4 linked regions of the Arabidopsis thaliana genome follow. The protein of the gene in region 1 purifies or fractionates together with the protein of each later gene. This does not show direct contact. Each region holds a gene or a part of one and is shown in the gene's direction. Other genes may lie near its edges.

The links.
Region 2: the proteins of AT3G49830 (region 1) and AT2G35390 fractionate together in Arabidopsis thaliana (co-fractionation; one large-scale study listed by BioGRID). This does not show direct contact.
Region 3: the proteins of AT3G49830 (region 1) and AT2G27710 fractionate together in Arabidopsis thaliana (co-fractionation; one large-scale study listed by BioGRID). This does not show direct contact.
Region 4: the proteins of AT3G49830 (region 1) and PRS2 fractionate together in Arabidopsis thaliana (co-fractionation; one large-scale study listed by BioGRID). This does not show direct contact.

Annotation. Positions count from the first base shown.
Region 1 is NC_003074.8:18,479,703-18,485,282, forward strand, and holds AT3G49830 (P-loop containing nucleoside triphosphate hydrolases superfamily protein), read left to right. Parts: upstream 1-2,546; 5' UTR 2,547-2,680; coding exon 2,681-3,432; intron 3,433-3,568; coding exon 3,569-4,238; 3' UTR 4,239-4,278; downstream 4,279-5,580. Other genes in the region: AT3G49820 (uncharacterized protein), read left to right, coding at 1,535-2,020; AT3G49840 (transmembrane protein (DUF2215)), read left to right, coding at 4,849-4,960, 5,125-5,338, 5,420-5,580.
Region 2 is NC_003071.7:14,893,816-14,900,749, reverse strand, and holds AT2G35390 (Phosphoribosyltransferase family protein), read left to right. Parts: upstream 1-2,867; 5' UTR 2,868-3,168; coding exon 3,169-3,312; exon of another isoform or gene 3,313-3,642; coding exon 3,643-4,065; intron 4,066-4,176; coding exon 4,177-4,320; intron 4,321-4,414; coding exon 4,415-4,582; intron 4,583-4,667; coding exon 4,668-4,737; intron 4,738-4,856; coding exon 4,857-4,938; coding exon of another isoform or gene 4,939-4,942; exon of another isoform or gene 4,943-5,041; coding exon 5,042-5,222; 3' UTR 5,223-5,496; downstream 5,497-6,934. Other genes in the region: AT2G35420 (RING/U-box superfamily protein), read left to right, coding at 271-1,035; AT2G35410 (RNA-binding (RRM/RBD/RNP motifs) family protein), read right to left, coding at 1,160-1,309, 1,398-1,700, 1,854-1,952, 2,035-2,409; AT2G35380 (Peroxidase superfamily protein), read right to left, coding at 6,792-6,934.
Region 3 is NC_003071.7:11,814,236-11,819,623, forward strand, and holds AT2G27710 (60S acidic ribosomal protein family), read left to right. Parts: upstream 1-2,398; 5' UTR 2,399-2,605; exon of another isoform or gene 2,606-2,690; 5' UTR 2,691-2,693; coding exon 2,694-2,781; intron 2,782-3,070; coding exon 3,071-3,303; intron 3,304-3,408; coding exon 3,409-3,435; 3' UTR 3,436-3,737; downstream 3,738-5,388. Other genes in the region: AT2G27700 (eukaryotic translation initiation factor 2 family protein / eIF-2 family protein), read right to left, coding at 1-136, 236-295, 394-459, 553-666, 753-846, 923-1,023, 1,106-1,213, 1,291-1,767; AT2G27720 (60S acidic ribosomal protein family), read left to right, coding at 4,461-4,548, 4,683-4,727, 4,787-5,019, 5,109-5,135. UniProt on the Arabidopsis thaliana protein: Plays an important role in the elongation step of protein synthesis.
Region 4 is NC_003070.9:11,678,943-11,685,631, forward strand, and holds PRS2 (phosphoribosyl pyrophosphate (PRPP) synthase 2), read left to right. Parts: upstream 1-2,791; 5' UTR 2,792-3,090; coding exon 3,091-3,234; exon of another isoform or gene 3,235-3,646; coding exon 3,647-3,811; intron 3,812-3,897; coding exon 3,898-4,146; intron 4,147-4,225; coding exon 4,226-4,369; intron 4,370-4,456; coding exon 4,457-4,624; intron 4,625-4,701; coding exon 4,702-4,771; intron 4,772-4,934; coding exon 4,935-5,016; intron 5,017-5,106; coding exon 5,107-5,287; 3' UTR 5,288-5,578; downstream 5,579-6,689. Other genes in the region: AT1G32375 (F-box/RNI-like/FBD-like domains-containing protein), read left to right, coding at 288-1,142, 1,227-1,361, 1,459-1,737.

The DNA of each region.
Region 1 (5,580 bases):
GTGGATGTCAAATATCGTTCAACTATGAGAAATAACTTGACTTCTATAGTTCTATGAGAATACAGTGAAATAATGCCACTTTAGGTAATGAGGTTTTGTTGTGTCAATTTATAATGATGATGACTGCAACTAATACAATAGAAATACTCTTGTATCAACTTAAAATCGTTGCGGAAAAGGTTCAATTTGTGTCTAAACATATATGAGATCACATTGTTAATTGTATAGCAGATTCAAACATATGTTTTAAAGAAAATGAATTTACTGATATAGAAGGGACTAATAAAAGGCAAGAAAATTCGTAGGTCGATTATGGAAGATTAATGAAAAATAACAAACTAATTCAACAATAACATAGTTCTAATCAAATTGTTTTTTTCTTGCTTTGTCGTTATGACTTTATGCCATTTTATTCTACCATTTTTGTCTACGCTTTCGTCATTCTCGGTGTTACCAATCGAGCCCATGACATCGGTAAACATGAATACACTATAATGCATTGCCTACGCATATGTTTATCTTTAGTATTTTAGGCTTTAGCTCATTTATTTTAACGTTAAAGAAGTGTGAAACAATCTTTTAATAAATGCAAAAGTAGAAGCACGAAGGAATAAAAAAGGTATATACCGCATTCCTACGCGTATTCTATATGTTTGATTTTCTAGCCATTTTAGCTTTGGACTGTCACGTGAGTCGTGACGCTCTACCCCCTAAATCTATGTCTATAGTAGTATGTACATATCAGACACATGCATGAGGCACCTATATATTTGTAAATAAATTATACACTATATGACGTATGGATTCAATGATACCAAGAGTTTTTGCTTGTAACGCCCAAGATTTTCGAAACCTACAATCTAGGATCTAAATAGTGTACCTCCAGTTATAAATTATATTTGTCGCTCTAGATAAGTTAGAGTAATGGCCAAATCTCGATAACAATTTATTTGTGATCTCCTCACATGAATTTCTTTGGAACCAAATTAATCCCAAACGATAGGATTCAATAATCAGTTAAAGTTTTGTAGTATTCGATAGTGGGTTAGAGTAATGTAGTGATGCAAACAAGAGTGCTAATCTATTGGGTCTATACATTGGATCAAATTTAATATATGGGCCGAACTATCATACCAAGCGTCATGCTTTGAAGAAAGTAGTTGAACCAAGCCATTATACCCTTTTAACTACTAACTAACCCATCTCAAATATCCAGATTTAAATTGGTGTCCATATTATATGAAATAAGTTAAGACTGATTTGCCAACAAGGCAACAACACCTTAATAAATTTAAACATCTAACTGAAAGAAATGTATTTAATCATCCAACTAGGTACATTTAAGAATAGATCACATTCATAATTTTGTTATTATCATTTACAACAGTCATCATGGATTTGTCTTCTCTTTGATCCTGTCTTAGTGTCTTGAAATCTTTGAGCATTTCTTCTTCTTCGTCTCTTATAATATATTTAAAAGGTTATATATTTACATATATACAACTTTGATTTCGATACTCTTGAGAATCCAATAATGAAAGCGAAAGTCATAGAGAAAGAGAACTGCTTCGTATGGTTGGTTAAGGCTCCTTTTCGTCTGTTGATCATGGCACGTGACGCCTACATACGAAGCATTACGTCATGCTCCGGCGCCGGAATTTATTCCGGTGGTGGATCATCTGGTTTTGGTCAACTCTCCGGAAACTTCCAAATCTGCGATCCGCCTAGCACCGCCCTTCCTCGAAGCTTTACCTTGACGTCGGCGGCACATGATCAAGGCTGTCTGACACGTGGCGGACAACCTACGATTGCAATGAGACAATCATTGTCCTTGGATCATCGGAAGAACAATAGATGCGTTGTTGTGATGGGAAGAATAGATGAGGAGATGTCTTGTGATGATGATGATGAGTTTCAAGAAGAAGACTCTTTTCTTGATTATGGTAATTGCGAGATTCTTACAAAAGAAATAGAAAAACCATCTGTTGACCAAAAACATAAGCCTCTAGGACGATTTTGATTTTGATTTTTAGGTTTATTATTAGGTTGTTGCATTGTGCTTATTGAGAAATATGGATCAAACACTTGAAAAGAAAAATCATTTTGTATCATTTAATATTATTTCTTGTATTACTTATAATTGATGTTAAAAAAAATTACATACGATTCTAAAAGTGGTGATGCAAATAATTCACATTGTTTTGTTAACAACCAATGCAGTTCTACATGATTTTAATATCATGAGTAATTTCTAAAAACAAATTACAACAAAAATTAATTTCTTTTAACCACAATAACTTCACAAAATTACAAACATAAAATACAAATTCAAAACCACAAGCACAAAAAATAATAATTTAGAAAGTTTATCAATTACTATTTTTGCTGTAAGAAAAAAAGTTTCTCAATTTTATTTTTGTCTGCAATATCTTTACAGATTCCAAAACAAAACAAAAAAACTATCTTTTTATTTATATATATATATATATATATATATATATAAATGTAAACTTCCTCATAAGTAAATTAACAAGAATATATATCAAACAAAATCTTGTAATTTTTTAATATAAATAAAGCTAAACCTTTACGAAGAAGAAAGACTCTGGTGATTGATTCTCCAAAGTCTAAACCTAGTAAAAGCCAAGTCTCATTCCTCGGGTGAACTCAACAACCGACGATGGCAGAACTAAGGTTATCAGAAACTCGAGACTTAACTAGGATCGAAAGAATCGGAGCACACTCACACATACGAGGTTTAGGTCTCGACTCAGTACTCGAGCCACGAGCCGTATCCGAAGGAATGGTTGGTCAAATCAAAGCACGTAAAGCCGCCGGAGTAACCCTCGAGTTGATCAGAGACGGCAAAATCTCGGGTCGGGCTATACTTATAGCGGGTCAACCCGGAACGGGTAAAATCGCAATAGCAATGGGTATAGCAAAATCACTTGGACAAGAAACACCATTCACTATGATTGCAGGAAGTGAGATCTTTTCTTTAGAGATGTCAAAGACTGAAGCTTTAACTCAAGCTTTTCGTAAAGCTATTGGTGTTAGGATCAAAGAAGAGACTGACGTGATAGAAGGAGAAGTTGTGACGATTTCGATTGATAGACCTGCTTCTTCTGGTGGTTCTGTGAAGAAGACTGGGAAGATAACAATGAAGACGACTGATATGGAATCTAATTTTGATTTGGGATGGAAATTGATTGAGCCATTGGATAAGGAGAAAGTACAGAGTGGTGATGTTATTGTTTTGGATAGGTTTTGTGGGAAGATTACTAAGCTTGGAAGATCTTTTACGAGGTCTAGAGATTTTGATGTTATGGGTTCAAAGACTAAGTTTGTGCAGTGCCCTGAAGGTGAGCTTGAGAAGAGGAAGGAGGTTTTGCATTCTGTCACACTTCATGAGATTGATGTTATTAATAGCAGGTTTGTTTCTTGATCTTGTTCTGTATTTGTCAATTGCTTAGTTTTAGGTTTAGGTTAAAAAGATTGCTTCTTTTTCACGTATTGATGCTTTTTCAAGTTCTTATTTGGATTCTTGTTTTCTTTCTGTTGTTTGCAGGACTCAAGGGTATCTAGCCCTCTTCACAGGTGATACAGGCGAGATTCGTTCAGAAACCCGAGAGCAAAGCGATACTAAAGTGGCAGAGTGGAGAGAAGAAGGGAAAGCTGAAATAGTACCTGGTGTTCTCTTCATTGATGAAGTCCATATGCTTGATATCGAATGCTTCTCTTTCCTGAATAGAGCTCTCGAAAACGATATGTCACCAATCCTGGTCGTGGCTACAAACAGAGGAATGACAACAATCCGAGGAACAAACCAGATATCAGCACATGGGATCCCAATCGATTTTCTTGACCGTCTTCTTATTATCACAACACAGCCTTACACACAAGACGAGATCAGAAATATTTTAGAGATCCGTTGCCAAGAAGAGGATGTGGAGATGAACGAGGAAGCGAAACAGCTTCTGACTTTGATCGGATGTAATACCTCGCTTAGGTACGCGATTCATCTAATCAATGCAGCTGCCCTAGCTTGCCTGAAACGTAAAGGGAAAGTCGTAGAGATTCAGGACATTGAGAGAGTTTATAGATTGTTTTTAGACACCAAGAGATCGATGCAGTACTTGGTTGAGCATGAGAGCGAGTACTTGTTTAGCGTGCCTATAAAAAACACACAGGAGGCTACTGCAGGAGAAGAAACAGAACACGAGGCCATGGAAGTTTGAGAATTTTGTTTTATTGCTTTTTCAAGAACTTATTTTTTCACCCCATTTTGTCATGGACTCATGGGACATGGTTGAACAAAAGATGGAATTTTTCAAGTTTTCGAGTTCTCATTGAGAGATAGACAACGTTTTGTACTGTGTTTTTGACGGAGCGATAAGATGGTATGACAAAAAGGTAAGATTGTGGAGACGTTTGAAGGGTTAATTGGTAAGGCTACCTAAGTTCTCACCTAATGTTTGTATTCAATTGGCTGATTATGGTGGAAAGATGGCGGTTTTGTGGGTCGAACAATCTCCTTGTAGTAACAACGGCTATAAGAATAAGATTTGGTGCGCGGAGATTGCTCTTGAAAAACAAGAAAGTTGTGAAATTTGGGGAGAAGTTGAGTGGTTTGGTCATGTGCTTACAGTTCCTTCAACATGTTTTGTTGCCAAGGTTATTGCTGCTACTGTTTGATGATGAATGAATGTGTCACAAAGCTTAAATATGTTTTTTTTTGGTGTATGCAGATATGATGATGACATGGCTTAATTTTGTCTCTTTTATTTATGTGACTGCTTTTACTTTCGTACGATTTCTTCATCCAAAAAACAAAACCCAGAAAAATCGATGAGTGACTCATCATCAGTCATTGTCCGAAGCTCAAATTTCATTGTCGTGATTCTCTTCCTCAACCTCGTCACTTTCTTCTCCCTTGTCTCCTCCAATGAACTTGTCTTTGGTAAGTTTGTGTCGGAATTGAATTATACTTTTAGGGCTTTCTTCAATTCTTTATGGGACTCGAATTTTGTAGTTTAGAATCACCAAATTTCAAACCTTTTTTTACATAATTAAGACAATTGCGATGAATTATATAAAAAAAGATCCAATTTTGTTGTTTATTAGCAGCTGTGGGTGAAACTGGTTCACTACAAGTGACTCCAAGAACAGAGGTGATATATTCACCTGGTCTGAAACGAGGTATAACATCGATATGTGAGAGATTACATATCCATGGATTACAAAGAAGACTTGAGCACATTGATAGATATGCACATTCACTAAAGTTGACTCTTTTGAGTAATAATGCTTCCAACAGTATCGACGTTTGCTTCCACAGGTAAAATCTAGTATCTGTGTAATCTCTATGAATCAATCTAGTATCTGTGAAATCTTAAAGTTTACTTCTTTCTGATTATAGGAATTCGTCGCGTGCAATTGGAATGTGTCCTGATAATCAGTGGAAGAGAGTGTCCAAAGGGTTACCTTGGGTTGGGATAATGTCACCTTTTGACTATAAGATTCTTGATATAAGAACATTTGGTGGCTCATCTAATGTCAGCACCGTGGAGTTGGTTGCTA
Region 2 (6,934 bases), on another chromosome or scaffold:
ATTAATTTTTCGTTTTGAGTTATTTTTAACAGTAAAATGATTTATTATTAAGACAACGATTTTAACTGTCACAAAAGACTCGCTCAAAATGGTAAGCAAAGCCACTTCTGTCTCTCAGACATAGCCACTTTATTCTCCTCATTTCTCTCTATTAACTTGAACAATAATACTCCTTTTCTCACAAGGATTTGTAAGAACAACCTTTCTTATATCCCAAGCAATCTACGAAACTGGTAGAATCTGGGGGTTTCTCTAATCATCAACCTTCAAATGTCGTCAACAACATCAATAGATTCAATACCAGCTACTGCTGTTTTCCCTAGTGTTTCCATGCCTGTCACCGTAGTTTTGACCGGTGTTCTTCTCTTTGTAATTTTCGCCGGATTCTTCTCTCTTTTCTTATGGCAGTTTCTTCTGAATCGATTATTTACTACTTGGAACCTTCAACGAACACCTTACGGTGACCTAATCCATGTGGCCACTCCGCCTGAAAATACTGGCCTCGACCCGTTTATCATCCGGTCCTTTCCTGTATTCCACTATTCATCTGCAACTAAGAAAAATCATGGGACGGAATGCGCTATTTGCTTGTCAGAGTTTTCAGATGAAGATACAGTTAGGCTCATAACGGTTTGTCGTCATCCCTTTCATTCAAATTGCATTGATCTTTGGTTTGAGTTACACAAGACTTGTCCTGTTTGCCGGTGTGAGTTAGATCCTGGCATGATTGGATCTGGAAGGCTTGAATCATTCCACAACACAGTCACAATTACTATTCAGGACATAAACCATGATGAGGAAAATCCTCCAACCGCTGGTTCAAGCAAAAGGCTAATAGAAGCCTCGGCTTGGCGATTCTCGAGGTCACATTCTACTGGACATTTCATGGTTAAGACTACGGATGCTAATGTGAAGTCCAAAAGAAGGCATTACCAAACAGGAAGCTGTGTCTCGTTCGACGAACTTACTCGGTATGAAGGAGCAGGATGGCAATGGCTTGGTGATTCATCACACATTAGCAGGATTGAAGTATAGTTTACTGAATTTCTGTTACATCTTCATTATTGTGTTCTTTGTAGCAGTAGTTATTTCAAAACTGTAATAAGATCTCTAGTCAGATTCTCATGCTCCTATCGGATAACAGAGAAAATAATAAGAGTCACTCCACAATGTTTTCTTCGGAAGTGTTTTTGTCTTCTACAGTGTCTCCATCTTCAGAAGCGTTGTTAGCTTCTACACTGTCACCATCTTCAGATTCACTGGCGCTTCTCAGACTAAACTTTAGAGTGATAGGTCTACCCATTATCTCCTATAGAAAAACCAAATTGTAATGAAACACTTTACATGCTCAAGGCTAAAGGAGCAAACTTTATATTAATATGCTTGGAACTTCATACCTTCCCATTGAGTTTTGTGATTGCATTCTCAGCTTCTTCTCTAGTAGCAAATGAGACAAAGCCATAGCCAGAAGATCTACCTTCGGGGTCAGCGAAAACAACCCGAGCTGAGACCGGGTTGAAATCTGCAGCAGTGAAAAGCTCTCGGAGATGTGTTGATCTTGCTTTCCAAGCGAGATTAGATACGTAGAGTTTGTGACGAGTGTCTCCAGGGGCAGGAGAAGGAAGATCGTTCGGTGATTTCGGAGTAGGCTTCTTGAACCTTCTTGCAAAGCTTACGCTAATGATCCTCCCTGACACTTGCTGAAAACAAAGAAGATAGAAGCTTAAACATCAAACCTTAGCTAACAACTCAACACAATGTATGATTTAGTAGTTTGAACTATCTACCTAAAAGGCTTTGAAATTAAACAAACAACACTCAATCAGAAAAGAATCTAAGGGATTTGAGCTTACAAAAGTATCGAACTTATCAATAGCTGCTTGAGCTTCTTCTCCAGAAGCCATAGTTACAAAAGCAAATCCTCGGTTCTTTCCATCTTTTTGCCTTATAATCTAGGAAAAGTTTATAAATTGAGGTAAGGCAATTGCTAGTAATAACATAAAGATTGAAACGAAATTGAGAAAGAAGAAAGACCTCGACATTGTTCACAGTCCCACATTGTCCAAAGAGCTCGGAAATGTCATTTACACTCATAGACCAAGGAAGATTGAATACAAAAAGCTTCCTTTTCAGATTTGAATTCTGGGTTTCTTCAGTCTTCTCCTCCTGCGACGTTTCTTCATCCGCCGATGTTTCTTTCTCCGCGACGGAACAGAGTACGGAGACGAGCCGCCGTGAGTTATCGCTGCCGGAACGTAGAGAGAAGACGGGAGAGAGATTGCTGGGAATTCGAAGACTAAGGGCAGTAAGTTTTAAGGAAGAAGAGCGTTTAGAAAAGAGATAAGGTTTTGAAGAGGAAGAAGAAGAAGAGAAGGAGAAAATGGAGAGAGAAGCTTCCAAAACCGCCATTGTTAGCTTTGGCACTAGAGAAATGGATTAGACCGAGACAAAAGGATAAAACTTTTTGGGCCGGTTTGGTTATTCGGAAAAAAATGAATTGTGAACCGGGTCTACCAACTTCGGTTTTTGAAGGTAAATGGCACGAGGAACTTAACCGTATATCATGTATTTTTTTTGGTATACCAATAAATTCCAATCCCTCCACATTGCAGTCAAATGGAAGAACAAAAAAGTGATGAATCTCATGATTTTTCTCTTTGAAGTCAAAACTCGAATTTGACTAAAACTGAATTTGATTGGTGTATATTCTATAACAATGTAAATACAAAAGTTTAAATTTCAATATTCTAAATAAATAAGTTAGTAAATTTTTTTTGAGTTTTGAGACATTTGGTGAAATACAAAATGAAGAGACCAAGATTTCAATCAATCCCAAAAAGTTAATTAATCCTAAGAAAAGTCCAGCCAGACGTCTCCAATCCATCAAACGATGTCGTTTAGTAACAACTTGTAGTCTTGTACACACCAACCAAACCATTTCCTATTTATTTTTCACAAAACGAAAAAAAAAAAAATCCAAATTCGAGAAAGAAGAGTCCAACACAAACTCGGAGACGAAGAAGAAGGAGAGAAGAAAACCATTAAGCCATTCCTTCTTCCGTATCACTCTGTCACCTTCAAAATCCTAAACCATAATTTTTCCGAATTCGTTGTGGAAGAGACTGCTTGAGTGAGTCAGAGGTGGGTTTACGTGAGGTATTGCTGACAATGGCGTCTCTGGGTCTATCCTTTCCTCCCGCCGCAAAAACGCCGACGTATCTAGCCTCTTCGTCTTCAACTTTCTTCTCTAACTCTTCTCTATCCGTCAGAACCTCTCAGTTTCGCTCCCGAAACTCTGTCTTCGCTTGTGTTGTAAGCGGTGTTCATGAATCTATAGAATTGCTTATTCTGCATTTTTGAATGTTGATCCTTCCTTTCTTATTACGTTTCCGGATTTGAGGTTCCTAGATTGAGTGGACCCTAATAGCCATCTTGTCAAGTTTGTAGTTCTGAGATTTTTATTGGCGCATGAGCTGAAAAGCTCGTCTCTTTCGTTTGAATATTGTTTGTTTATGCGAATATAGCTACATAAAGGTTGTCTCTTTCTTCAGAATACATTTGTTTGAAACTATCCAGGAACAGAAATTGAGACCTATATGATTATATGAATCTCTGATTGAGTCTTGTTGTTGTTGTTGCTAGAAATGTGATATGCCGGAGTCATTGAATGTGGGAAACGGGAATCCAAGTATCCCAATTATTAATGAGAGGACACTTCCAAAGTTCTTGGAATCTGCTCGTATGGAGAAATCAGTCAATAGAACCAATACAAGGTTGAAGTTGTTCTCTGGTACTGCAAATCCAGCACTTGCTCAGGAAATTGCTTGGTATATGGGCTTGGATCTTGGCAAGGTTAATATTAAGAGGTTTGCTGATGGAGAGATCTATGTTCAGCTACAAGAGAGCGTTAGGGGATGTGACGTCTATTTGGTGCAGCCTACTTGCACTCCCACTAATGAGAATCTCATGGAGCTTTTGATTATGGTAGATGCTTGCCGAAGAGCATCAGCTAAGAAAGTTACAGCTGTGATTCCGTATTTTGGATATGCAAGAGCTGACAGGAAGGTAAAGTCTCTTTGTGTGGTTTAGCTACTTTCACATGATATGGAGGGTTTGTTGATAACTTAGCTATTGGTAATCTTTTCTGGATAAAATTGTATGTTTTGCTGCTTGCAGACACAAGGGCGTGAATCCATTGCTGCCAAATTGGTTGCAAATCTTATCACTGAAGCTGGTGCAGATCGAGTTCTTGCTTGTGATCTTCATTCAGGACAGTCGATGGGTTATTTTGACATTCCAGTCGACCATGTGTACTGCCAGGTTCACCTCTAAAGCCACGTTCTTGATACCCCTCTTTATGCATTGTGTGTATGCTCCTTTGTGTATAATACCTTTATCTGCTTAATTGTTTCAGCCGGTGATACTTGATTATCTTGCTAGCAAGTCAATTCCCTCAGAGGATTTGGTAGTGGTTTCTCCTGATGTTGGTGGAGTAGCCAGGGCCCGCGCTTTTGCAAAGAAATTATCAGATGCACCACTTGCCATTGTCGATAAAAGGCGTTCTGGACACAATGTTGCTGAGGTATCCCTTTCTTTCAGAGTCAGAGTTTGCTCACCAACACCGCTTGCTTCCCCTTAAGTTCACATTTGTTATACTTTCCTTTCAGGTCATGAACCTAATTGGTGATGTAAGAGGGAAGGTGGCAATAATGGTGGATGATATGATTGATACTGCTGGTTAGTAAAACGGCATGGAGTTGTCATTTTACCGACAAACCAAGTTTCCTATCTCTCTCTATTCCCCATCAACTTCTCCTTTTCCAGGCTGAATCATCTATGAACCATTCTTGTTTCAGGAACCATTGTAAAAGGAGCAGCTTTGTTACACCAGGAAGGTGCTCGGGAGGTATATGCGTGCTGCACACACGCTGTTTTCAGGTAAACCACTAACCTATATTTTGTTTGTTCCTGAACAGTCTCAAAATCACTACTTCCTGAAGCATTATTTGTTTTCTTTGTTTCAAACAAATCAATATGGAAGCCCGCCAGCGATAGAGCGATTATCAGGGGGTTTGCTGCAAGAAGTGATAGTGACAAACACATTACCTGTAGCAGAGAAGAATTACTTCCCGCAGTTAACAATATTATCAGTGGCTAATCTCCTGGGTGAGACCATTTGGCGTGTGCATGATGATAGTTCCGTCAGTAGCATTTTCCTTTGACCTTTCTCATTGCAACCAACAATTTGAACGATTCTTGGTTTGTTAGTCGGTTTAGAAAGTTTATCCCGGTTCATGTTCTAACCGGAAAGCTTCAACAAAATTTGCTTGCATTGTCTTTTGATACAGCTTAGGTTTTTCTTATTTGCTCCACATCTCAAAATTATGGATGCACAAATGGTGTTGAACCGATTTTTTATTATGGTGTACACAAGTTTTTAACTTAATATATAGAACATCTTGTATCGTATCTACATTTAACATGGTGCAAATTGGCTCAAAAATCTTGTTGACAATTTGATAATGGGTTTCATAATCAGACAAATCTATGTATTGGATTGTACAGTCCACGGCCAACCAAAAAAATAAAAAAAGCCCAAAAGAATAGGTTGAGTCATAATTAGGGCTTCTATTTGACTAGTGTCAACTAGTATATATAGAAGACTCACATTGGAATCACAAGACAAGTCTATTGTTTTGTGTTCCGCCTCAATTAGTTCTTAGGGTTTTGTCATCTGTGATTTTGTTTGGCTCTGTTTTTCGATTTGTGCATAGAAATTTATTTAAATAGAAGAGCTGTGAGGAAAAAATCGTGTGCCAGAGATGGTTAATCCATCGCTGACGGTAATACACAACCCTCTAAGAAGTTCTGAGCTTTTCTAGATCTTAATCTCTTCCTCAATTCATGTTTTTTTTGGATTTTTGTAAAAACTCTTTTAAGGACTTTTATGAGTCGAGGTGACGATAGAAATTCACAGGTCTGTCAATCCACTGATATATGTGATGTAATTGTGTTCTCGACAGGTTCTGATCGACTCTACAATAAAAATCCTTAAAATCTTGTTTTCAATTTTAATATTTCGTTTTTGTATCCTTAAAAAAATCGTTTTCTTTTGAATCTGAGTATAGGATGAATCTCATATATTGATGTTATTTACTACTGAAATTACATTGATGTTTTATTCACCTTGGAGAACTGATACTCAGATTCATAGTCTCTTTTATGTTTTTGTACAATTCGAATGTCTTGTCGATTTTAAGGATTTGGTTTTTGATTCTCTTTGTTTTCTACTGGGCATATGATGAAATTATATTTCATGGGTAATTTGCGTCTGATTCTATGTGATGCTAACTTTTATGATTATCTGATGCCCAGAAAATATACCGAATGTTTTTTTTTGTTTTTTTACTAGTTGTGCATAATGGAAATCACTTGACTAATTAATTTGACTTGTTCACAGTTCTATTCACTTTAAATGCAAAAACAATTCTCAAAGGTTTTCTACTGATGCCTTGAAATATTTGGATATTTTACTTCGGAACAAAACAGAGTCCTTCAATAATTGGAGTTATCAATTGTCAGCTTAGATGACAAGCTGAGATTATTTTGACAATTCACTTGCCTTAAGCAGAAACAATTCCAACAAACAGACCTGTATCATACTTAATTGGACATTGTTATAATGGAGAAAATAATGGAACTTATCGAAGTTGTAATGAGTTTTGTGAAGTTGATGCCTTATTGGAAGACCAAAAGAAGTGCAAACAATTTGTATTGATTGATGTTTGATTTCAGATATTGACAAATCTACAATTCTCCCTAATTTCACCTTCAATACCTGTAAGAACATTAATATTACCCATTTTTAACATAGATTCCACAAAATCTATGAAGAAAAGATCTTGATTAACTGCATATTCCCAAACTTTCTGAA
Region 3 (5,388 bases), on another chromosome or scaffold:
AAACTCCTTCACCACTTTTGTCAATCCTGCTCAAAACTGAGTTTACATCTTCCATAACCAACTCCTTAATTGCTTCGATGTCATCATCAGGTCCAACGACATGCAGGGCAGTACCAACAATTACATGTTCAAGGTCCTTTTAAACACAACCAAAAAATGGAAAATAATATTCAGGATGTGATCATTAATTAAAAGAGACTAGAAATTAAGATTAATGTAGTATCAGTCCAATCACCTTGGCAATAATATTGATACACTCTGCAGCCTTTATTACTTCGTGATGTACATGATTACCCTGAAATACCAGACCAAGAATTCTCATTGTGTATAGAAAAAGTACGTAATGGTATTTGCATGAACTATAATTTCTTAAGGAATAACAGTAATAAGTACATTCACATGCAACTCCTTTATTGGATGAGGAGTCAGTAATGCTCTAATCGTTGTGACAATAGGTCCCTAAAATATAAGAAGATATAAGATCATTATTTAAGTTCTAAGTATTATCCAATGCATTACTTATTTGAGTTTGGATAATAAGTTTTTACTTGCCTGTAGACCACAAACGACGATTTGACCACCTTCATGGAGTTCACCATTTACCAACACAACATCAATCGTTGTACCATAGCCTTCCATAACTTTGACCTCTAGGACAGTACACTGCTTAACAGTTTCAAGAAAGGATCAGAATCCAACATGCTGAAGTATTGTACAAACAAGTGTTACCTAAAAGAGAAAAGGAGCAAGACCTGCACTTTGTCAACATATGTAATTAGTTTCTCAACCATTGTTTTCTGAGTCAATTGAACCAACAACAACAATAGATCTGGGATCCCTTCCCCACTGAAATATCAAGAACCAAAATTACTCAACCATTTAGGATAAATTACAAACAATAAACAAAGAGAGACTCATATACCTAATAGCACAAGTAGGAACAATACTAAAAGTTTCTCCCATTTCTTTATTCTTGTAATAAAGCTCACTGTTGAGTCCTTGCTCCTTAAACTGGTTTATAATCTGTAATACCAATGAAACAACATATACACAAAGTGATAGCTCAAACCCATAGATGATGATAAACTCTAGATGAATAACTTACCTCATTCAGCCTCATGTTAAATTCATTTATAACATCTTTAGTTTGTTGCTTCATCGCCTCCAAGATAGGAGCATTTTCACATATTCTCCATCCATATAGCCTATCCACCTATAAGTACATTGAAAATTTTATTTTCCATAAAAACATTTACACCATAGAACAAAACAAATCACAAACAGTTTTACCTTATTCAATGCAATAATGAACTCCGTATTCTTCATTCTCAGAAGATTTAGACATTCTATAGTTTGTGGCTCTAACCCATGCATTATGTCAACAACCAAAATTGCAAAGTCACACAAACCTAAGCCTCTTGAGCGAAGATTTGTGTAGAACTCGTAACCAGGTGTATCGATAAACAGTGGACGTGGCACCTTAAGTTTTGTATCGGATTTCAGTTCCATGGTCTTCTCTAGGATGTTTCTCGCTGAGAGATATGTTGCACCCATCTTCTGAGTGGTACCTCCAGCCTCGCCTTCTTGTACATTTCCTGTGATGTAATCTAACAGCTTTGTTTTACCAGTATCGATATGACCCATCATACAGCAAATGGGAGAACGGACTTTGTCTTCCTCGGAGAGCTTATTACGTCTAGAGTGTTCATCGCCAACAATTTGCTGCTTATCATCTCCACCTCGAGCACTCGGCTTCTTCAGATCCATTGCTAAACAATCGAATAAGCTTTACCTTATATGGGAGATGACTTGATCGACAAGGTTGAGACAGAAAACGAGAATTAGCTATGATTTTTTCTTTGTGAAACTTCCTATACGGTGGAGCAAACACGTTGTGTAGATATATACCGATTCTAAGTATGTAACGATGCTGCTTAAATAATTTCTAGACCATGCAAGATATAATTGTTTTTTCTCGGATTAAGATTCATTTACATAAATGATTTTAAATGGAATGAAATCTACTATATATTAAAAGGTAAATTTTTGTAAATCTTTAATTATTATTCATATCCAATGCCATTAATGTTTTTATATAATACATTTTAAAGATTTTTCTAACTTACTTAAAAGGATAAAAAATAAAAAAGATTACACATATAGACACAATCTAGCTACTGCAAAAAAGATTTTTTTAAAAAGCATAAATCTACTTTATTTACTAATTATAAATTTAATTTGTTTCACTTTTATTAGTGATAACAAGATTAATTGTTTTGTTTACACAAACAATATTGTTTTATGATTTCACTTATATGAACATTATTATCAAGAGTTATAAAGTTTGCAAAAGAAATAGGTTTTTATTGACTGAAGAATTGAGAAATTTTCTCATCACCTTTAAAATTAATATTGGGCCTAGCGATGAACCGGGCCAACGCCCATTAAACATATCCGATAATAGTTTAAACCCGGAGAGACTCAAAGTAGAGAAAACCCTAATTGTATATAAACTAAAAATACTTCCTTAATTCTTCACTTCTTCATCGCCGTCTGCACAAAACCCTAATCTCACAATCTCCTACGAGATCTATCAGTCTCCACGGTAAACGACACTAATCCATTTCAATTTCTCCATCGTCTTCTCCGATCAAATTCTCCATTTACTTATCTGTTCACTATTTTTCCAGAAGATGAAGGTTGTTGCCGCATACTTGCTCGCTGTTTTGAGCGGAAAAGCTTCACCAACCAGTGCCGATATCAAGACTATCCTTGGATCAGGTTCGTTTTGATGAATCGCAATCGATTTCATTACAATATGATTAGATTCGTTGTTTGAGTCGCTGGAGAATTCGATTTGAAATCTTTATTAGATAGTTGAGAACTTGCTTAAGCTGAAATGATATGTATATTAGGGATTTTTATGGTTCCTATCGACTTAAACGGTGTTTATGATAGTCGAGATGCGTAAGTATTGTTAAGAGTAATGATTTAGTGAACAATGGGATACAATAATGAGTTTGGGATGATTGATGGAATGTGGCATTGTTGTTTTTGTTTGGTGTTGCAGTTGGTGCTGAGACAGAGGATTCTCAGATTGAGCTTTTGTTGAAGGAAGTGAAAGGAAAAGATTTGGCTGAGTTGATTGCTGCTGGAAGGGAGAAGTTAGCTTCAGTGCCGTCTGGTGGCGGAGGTGGTGTTGCGGTTGCTTCTGCTACATCTGGAGGTGGAGGAGGTGGTGGTGCTTCTGCTGCTGAGTCCAAGAAAGAAGAGAAGAAGGAAGAAAAGGAAGAATCCGATGATGTAAGTTTACTTTCCTTCTAACAAAAGTCTTGATCTTAATAGTAGCTTGAAATTTAACCTAAAAATGATGGCTCACTTGTGTGTGTTTTTGTTTTTAATTTGCAGGACATGGGTTTCAGTCTATTCGAGTAAGCTGGTAGTAGCATGAAAAGTCCGGTTTTGTTGTCCTCTTTTAATATTGTAACCTTTTGAAATCTATATGTTGTTGTTGTTTAGTTTGTATTCGATCATCTTTTTTAGACATTGCTGAAATTCTCAAGAGTTTTTGACCCGAATGTCATTTGCACTTTGTTGTTAGCATTTCTGCTTCTATCTCAATCGCCTTTGTCACTCTGGAGTTTTTAGTAGCCAACAAAAGCATTGGTCCTAGTCATGGTCTTAAATCTTGACTCGAATGGTGATGAGATACCTCTAGCCTTGACTTTGCTAATGATACGTTGTCGTTCATTTGGAACCTAGATTCAGATTCGGCTTACGTATGACTTCAAGAATAGTATTATTGTAAGAAAAGGATAAAAAAAAAATTCTAGTCTTGAATTGTTCCCCCTTCAATGCCGTCCAATATGTAAATACATCATAATTCGTATGAGAAAATAACTAGACTATGCTAAAACTTTGACACCACAAATTTATTAGTAACTTGCAAAACATATCACTTGTCAACTACATATACCGAGAAATGCCATACGCAGGCGATGTTTCGGAAACAACAGGTGTAGAGTTGAAGCTACTTTTGATGTCATCGACCAAGAAGGTGCTATAGAAGACGAGGTTAGAGGTGAAATCCCATCCATCAAACAAAATAAAACTAGAGAATTGTATAATCTGGTCGTTCTCTTCTCAACATCAATATTACCCGTCAATCGAAATATTGAGCCCATATAAATATGGGCTTGAAAGAACTGGGCCTAAATAAAATTTTAAATTCGGAGATACATTGATAAGATTAAAAACCCTAAGCGTATATAAATCATATAGTTTTCATTTTTTCGTACTTCTTCTCCATCGCCGTCTAAAAACCCTAATCTCACTCCGCCTCCTGCGAGATCCATCAACACTTCCGCAGTAAGCGCCTCCATTTCCATTTCTCTCTCCTTCTTCTCCTACGTAATCGTACTATGTTTGATTTTTGATCTGTTTTTGTTTTTCTTCAGAAAATGAAGGTTGTTGCTGCGTTTTTGCTTGCCGTCTTGAGCGGGAAAGCTTCCCCAACCACTGGCGATATCAAGGATATTCTTGGATCAGGTTCGTGACTTTGATTTGAGCATTGGAATGTATACATGATTATTCTAGTAGTGAGAATTTGTTTAACTTGAAATGTTATTGGAACTAGGAATTGTATATGTTTGCTGGAAATGAACAGTGTGATGCAATAAGAGGCATTATGGTGTTGGTATTGGACTGTGTTGTTATAGGTGATTGCTGTAATTGTGGTGGAGGAAGAATTGATGGAGTGTGGCAATTGTTATGTTTGATTTTGCAGTTGGTGCTGAGACAGAGGATTCTCAGATTGAGCTTTTGTTGAAGGAAGTGAAAGGGAAAGACTTGGCTGAGCTAATTGCTGCTGGAAGGGAGAAGTTAGCTTCAGTACCATCAGGAGGTGGTGGTGGTGTTGCGGTTGCTTCTGCTACATCTGGAGGTGGAGGAGGTGGTGGTGCTCCTGCTGCTGAGTCCAAGAAAGAAGAGAAGAAAGAAGAGAAAGAAGAATCCGATGATGTAAGTTTTACTTTCTTTCTGACAACAGTTTTTTATCTCTTCAAATGAAATGATGGCTCACATGTTGTGTGTTTTGTGTCAATTTGCAGGACATGGGTTTCAGTTTGTTCGAGTAATGCGGTATACTTGGCATTTGGTTTTGCTGTACCCTTTCGAAATCTTTATGTCGTTGTTTAGTTTGTTGTATTCGACTATCTTCTTAGACTTTGCTGAAATTCTCAAGAGATTTTTTTACTCAAACATCAGTCCACTTGTGATTGGCATTTATATTTCAAACTATTGCCTTAGTTACATCTTCAATAGTCCACTTATGAACGATCTTTAGTAAATTCTCTTATTCACTCGCTTACTAAGAATTAAACCTAAAGA
Region 4 (6,689 bases), on another chromosome or scaffold:
TTCCGGTGGGGTTTCAGGTCTTTCATTTTTTCTTCCTGTGAAATTCTTTTGGTTCGTCTTGCTTATTTGATTTCGAAGAAGCGATTTCATGAACAATCTCGATGAGTTTGGATATCGTTTGCTTCTCTTTTGTATCTCTCTAGGGTTTTGATTTGACCTTCCATAGTTGCTTGTTGGTGTTTTTTTTAAACTTACTTCACACTGAGAATTTTGCATTCCTTGCTGTTTTCAGGCTTATCTGTTTAGTTTTAGGTTCTGACCTAAACCTGTGGAAGCTGTTAGCTAGTATGGATAAGTTAAGTCAGTTGCCTGAAGCGCTACTAGTGAGAATTTTGTCTTTACTGTCTGCTAAAGATGTTGTTTCGACAATGGTTTTGTCGAAACGGTGGCAGTTTCTTTGGATGTTGGTGCCAAAGCTTATATATGATGATAGCTATCAAGCTATTGAGTATGGAAGCTTTTCGCGGTTTGTTGACAGGTCATTCACTCTGCACGATGCGCAAGTTCTAGATACTTTGCATTTCAAACTCGGTAAAACCTCATGTGGTACTGGAGATATTAGAGTTTGGATTAAAACAGCAGAGAAGAGCTGTTTGCGTGAGCTGATAATTGAGATTGATAAGTCTAATAGTGATAATTCTTCAGTGGTACTTCCAAGGAGCCTGTATACGTGCTGTAGAATGCTCGTGACTTTGAAGCTTAATAACGCGGTTCTTGTGGATGCTACGTCCTCGTTTTCATTTCCATCTCTCAAGACTTTGAGTCTTGTGTCCATGAAGTTTCCAGGTGATGAGCTGATCAAGATGCTTTTATCGAATTGTCCTGTTCTTGAAGACTTGGTTGTGAAACGCTGTCCCTATGACAATGTGACTACTTTCACTGTTAGAGTGTCTTCTCTAAAGTGTTTAGTCTTGCATGAAACGGAATTAGCCAGTATAAATGCTGATTGCGGGTTTGTGATAGATACTCCTTCTTTGGAGTGCTTAGACATTGAAGATGGTAGGGGTGGTTTTTGTGTCATTGAGAATAATATGACTAAGGTTGTGAAGGCAAATGTTTGCAATTCTTATGTACATACGCAGCAGCTCATGGGTTCTATTTCTTCCGTCAAGCGTCTCTATGTATGTATACCATCCTCTAAGGTAATATGTTTCTATAGTTCTGTTATCTACATATATTATTGGTTTCTTTGTGATCAAATTACTTATGTAGTGTCTCTTATGCAGGATGCTTATCCTGTTGGTAGTGTCTTCCACTGTCTTGTACGTTTAACGATATGCACATGTGAGACAGAGTGGCTAAATCTACTTATGTGTGTACTCAGAGATTCCCCTAAATTACGAGAACTCAAACTTGTTAAGGTCTGCAGATCTAAACCTGAATTATTCAGTCTCTATGATATATCAGCATATATTTTCAGTAGAATAACAGTGTGATGATATCTTACTTTTATCTTAGAACCATGTCTATCGATCTCATCAACCGCGGCCGTGCTGGAATGAACCGAGTGCAGTTCCTGAATGTCTGTTGACAAGTCTTGAAACTCTCGAATGGGTAAAATATGAAGGAACAGAAGAAGAGAAAGAAGTAGCGGCATTCATCTTAAGAAGTGGAAGCTGTTTAAAGAAGGTGACTATCTCCTCTAAATCCACTGACATCAACAAGAAATTTGAGATGCTCAAGGAGTTGTCATTGTTGTTCAGGCGTTCACCTACATGTCAGATTGCATTCGACTGAAGTTTAGTTCAGTCTTCTTCATTAGTCAAGTTGGTCTGTGTTTGATCCAATCTTATAGACTTGTGTTTTCTCTTCTTAAAGAAACTAGTTTTCCCTAGAAACTTATGTTGCTCAAGTTTTTATTCTTTTGACGTTGTGTATTCTTATGTCTTATAACCCTTTTGAGTTTTTATCTTATTTAGCTCTGCTTCTCACTGCATATTCTTCGACAAGCGAAGAATGACGTTCTAAAATGGTCAATGAACTTAGAGACATTTTGGTCTTTTTGTTTAGTGTAATCCGTTATGAGCTTGGATTTAGGTAGATGGAAATATGAATTGACCACGTGTAATCATTTAGAGCAAAATGATATTGCAAATGGTCTAATGGACTCGGATACGCAAGAGGTCGTGGCAATGGCTAATCACATCTCCTTATATCTTTAATGTGTTAAATATGACATTGTGGCTTCTTATTATTATAACCCGTTTGCCTTTTCAGTTTCACACAAATGGCAACAAATCCTTATGGCTGCATATGTTTTCAATTTGGATCTCTTTAAACTCAAAACAAGTATTAAGGCAATCTCTATGATGTTTTGTAAGTACCTTGAAGAGGTCTTTTGTAAGTTGTAACCTTTTTTATGTAGGAGAAGAATCACATCTTCACCTTTTGAGTTTTTGACTTGTTCTTTCCAAAATTTGCACTTTTCAATTGTTGCAATGGCCAATATTAATGATGTGACCCAATCTATTTGTATAGCCGAAAGAACCCAAAATACAAATGGTTTTTTTTTTAAAAAAAGTTTTTTTGCTGAAAATATATTCTTTTTTTAGAAAATTTATGTTCATAATTAGTTATTGGAATCCTAAAGTGGCATGAAAAATGCTTAGAAACAAGTGGGCATTAGGAATCAGTATGAGATTCTTTAGAATTTGTGTTTGAAAACAATTTCTCTTTTCGACTCCTTCAATGTTAAGTCCTACATGACACGTAAGCTGTGAAAGCTACGAGCAGAGACGATTTTAGCCATCAACCAAACGACACCGTTTCTAAACAATATTTATTTTTGTATGTTTTTAGTGTAACAAAATTACAATTGAAAATTCCAAATTTCGAGAAAGAGAGAAGACCCATCGCCGCACCGCTTGAGTCACTCTTCTTCCCGGAGAAGAAAGAAACAACAACAAACATATTCACCATTACCTTCTTCTTCTCCTCCTTCTCCTTCGTTTCTCACTCCAAATTTGGAACCCTAAATCCTAATATCCTTCGATTAGTTCTCTTCTCTATCGGAATTCTTAACGTTGAGAGGAGTCTGATATTTGCCGTGACTCAAGAGATTCCAGGTGTTTCCGACGTATATATTTACATATGGCGTCGTTGGCTCTGACTTCTCCTCCCTCCGTTAAGATTCCTTCGTATCTCTCCTCGTCGTCTTCGTCTCTCTTCTCCCGTTCCTCGATTTCTTTCAGGACCACTGAGTCTCGCTCTCGAATCTGCGTTTCTGGTTACGCGGTGAGCATTGAGCATTTTTTTTCCTTCATGTTAATGAATGAATTCGATATTCACATTGCGTTTCATGTATTTGTTATAAGAAAATTCAAATTGTTTTTGGATGAATCTATGCTTTGATGATCTGTGAGATTTTTCTGGATTTAGTAGATGCTATTAGCAGTTCGTTTACAGGCTAATTTTGTGAGAATTTGTGTGTTGTCGTCGCTCTTGGCTTGACTTTGTCCATGTATGTGACTGTAGAATTTGGAATTTGGAACTTTCAGCTTTGGAATCTTGTGTGTTGAATACTGTTCATGAATGTTTGGTTATTCTTATGTTTGTAGAGAGATGTAAGAGAGATCGTGTGTTGGTTAAATTTTGTGTCTAACATTTTGAATTTGGTTTCACAATTCCTTGTCATTGTGTTTGATAGAAATGCAATTTGCCTAAGGCACTAAACGGGAACGCTCGTGTTCCAATTATTAATGAGACGACAATTCCTAAGTTCTTTGATTCTTCACGGTTGGAGAAATCGGTTAGTAGAAACAATACTAAGCTCAAGTTGTTCTCTGGTACTGCTAATCCAGCTTTATCTCAGGTAGTTTTCTCGAGACCTTTGGTTGTCTTTTTTAATCAAGTTTTCTTCTGGTGAAGTATATGCTAAACTCTTGGAATTTTGTGAAGGAAATTGCTTGGTATATGGGTCTGGAGCTTGGGAAGGTTAGCATAAAGAGATTTGCTGATGGAGAGATCTATGTTCAGCTCAAAGAAAGTGTTAGAGGTTGCGATGTCTTTTTGGTGCAGCCTACTTGCACTCCAACTAATGAGAATCTCATGGAGCTATTGATCATGGTGGATGCTTGCCGAAGAGCATCAGCTAAGAAAGTCACAGCTGTGATTCCGTATTTTGGATACGCAAGAGCTGATAGAAAGGTAGGTTCTTTTTGTCTTCTTCAATGGTAGATACAGTATGTCAAGTAATTTCATCTGATGTATCTATTGATGTTTTCAGACACAAGGGCGTGAATCTATTGCTGCCAAATTGGTAGCAAACCTTATAACAGAAGCCGGTGCAGATAGGGTTCTGGCTTGTGATCTTCATTCAGGACAATCCATGGGTTATTTTGACATACCAGTGGATCATGTCTATTGCCAGGTATCTTAAGTTTCAACCTTTTTGATAGACAAGCCTCTACTTTTTATGCAACCTTTAAAATCTTACACAATTGTGATTACATTTCAGCCTGTGATACTTGATTATCTTGCTAGCAAGTCAATTTCCTCTGAGGATTTGGTAGTGGTTTCTCCTGATGTTGGTGGAGTAGCCAGGGCACGTGCATTTGCTAAGAAATTATCTGATGCACCACTTGCCATTGTCGATAAAAGGCGTCACGGCCACAATGTCGCTGAGGTAAAAATTTAAATTTACCTTCATTTTATCCTTTCTACACGCAAGTTCTCATGTGTTGATAATACTCTTTCCCACAGGTCATGAACCTAATCGGTGATGTTAAAGGGAAGGTGGCAGTAATGGTGGATGATATTATTGATACAGCTGGTTAGTAAAAATTGCCAGAAACTCCTCTTTCCGTTGATATGTTTGTTATAAACAAAAGCTTCCAAACTCTAGGCCATAATCGAGATATTACTAAATAGAGATTATTCTGTGATTTGCAGGCCATACATTACTAAGAACCAGTTTTTTATCTTCTTATTTACAGGAACCATTGTGAAAGGAGCAGCTCTTTTACACGAGGAGGGTGCACGTGAGGTTTACGCTTGCTGTACACACGCTGTTTTCAGGTAAACCCATTAGCTTGAGTTTTACCAGTTCTTCTCCATTTTCGTTTATGAAACTAAGAGACCGTTTTCTTGAATGAATCAATGTCACAGTCCTCCTGCGATAGAGCGGTTATCAAGCGGTTTGCTGCAAGAAGTGATAGTGACGAATACTTTACCAGTAGCGGAGAAGAATTACTTCCCGCAGTTAACGATATTATCGGTGGCTAATCTTCTGGGTGAGACCATTTGGCGTGTCCATGATGATAGCTCCGTTAGTAGTATTTTCCTTTGATACTTGTTGGTTTTTGTTAATCGGTTTAGGATCGGTCTAAGTTCCTCTTTTTTGTTCTACTTCTTCTCGACAGTTTCTAGTCTAACCATGTCTTGCTTCTCTTACTCACCTAAAGTATGTCACAGTTCTATCTTTTCTTCTTTTTAGCATAATAGAGTTATGAGATATCAATGACAATAAAATTTTAATATTTTGGTTTATTGAAAATAATTACATTATGGTGTAAACATTATTTCTCAGGATTTATTGAGAATTTCTAAATTAACAATTTCCCCAACTTGCATATTTCTGGCAATAAATAGTTTTGGCATTTTATGAAATAAGTGACTAATTTTTATGGTTTAGTGTTCTTTCTTCGGTTAACCAATTTTTATTGCAAAAAAAAAGGAACAAATTAGGGTTTTATCAAGCCCGTCGTTGCATATAAATAGTCTTTTCATCGCCGCTTGAAACAGATAAGTGTTTCCTTCGTCTCTCTGTGGTCCGATATGTCTCCCTATAATCTCTGTTTCATAGTTTAATCATATTCTTTTGTGGTTTTGAATTCTTATGTTCGAAAATCTTGAGTAGTTGCTGTGATGTAACTACCGTGTGCCAGAGATGAAGTTATTCATCGTTGACGGCAAACATAACCTTAGAGTTCTAAGCTTTTCTTTTGTTCTATTTTTTGGTGTGTGGTCGAAGTGACGATAAAGAATTCACAGTCTGTCAATCCACTGACAACATTTGAGTGATGTTATTGTGATATCTCGACAGGTTCTGATCTACTCTTAATAAAAACCCTCCCAATGATTTTTTTTTATTAGATCATTAGTTTTGTTGAAAGTGGGGCAGATGATGATTATCATAAAACAAATGGGTAATTTGCGACTGATAATATTACATTGATGTGTTTTTCACCTTGGAGAACTGATGTCCCCAATCTCATATTCTAAGTTCTATTTTTTTTGGTATTGATAATGAATTCGTGAAGAGTTCGATTTGTTTCTTCTTGTCATAAACATTAAGCCAATTAGCAGAGCAAGGGCGTCTAGTTTAAATGACGTGAGTTGCCTTGAAGGTTGGCGATAACAAGTTTTGCGATTCTCCGTGCCTATCAAATTTTGTTTTTCGTATTGATAATGGCCTCGAACAAGTCGCTACATTCGTTTTTTTTCTTCCAAAGATTTTGTTTCAAAAGAAGTCTCTTATGTAATAATTAAAATTCAGAATAAAAATCAGGTTATTTACGATCATAACTAACCAAACGCTTAGACAATATGCTTATCAGTTGAGATTATAGTCCCGTAGGTGGAGCAATGGTCGGATAGTTAATGTGCAGCTATGATTAAAGCATATTTGTAGACTAAATGTTTGGATGGTTAAATTAAAGCCCAATTATGATAAGAACCTTTGTAAACCG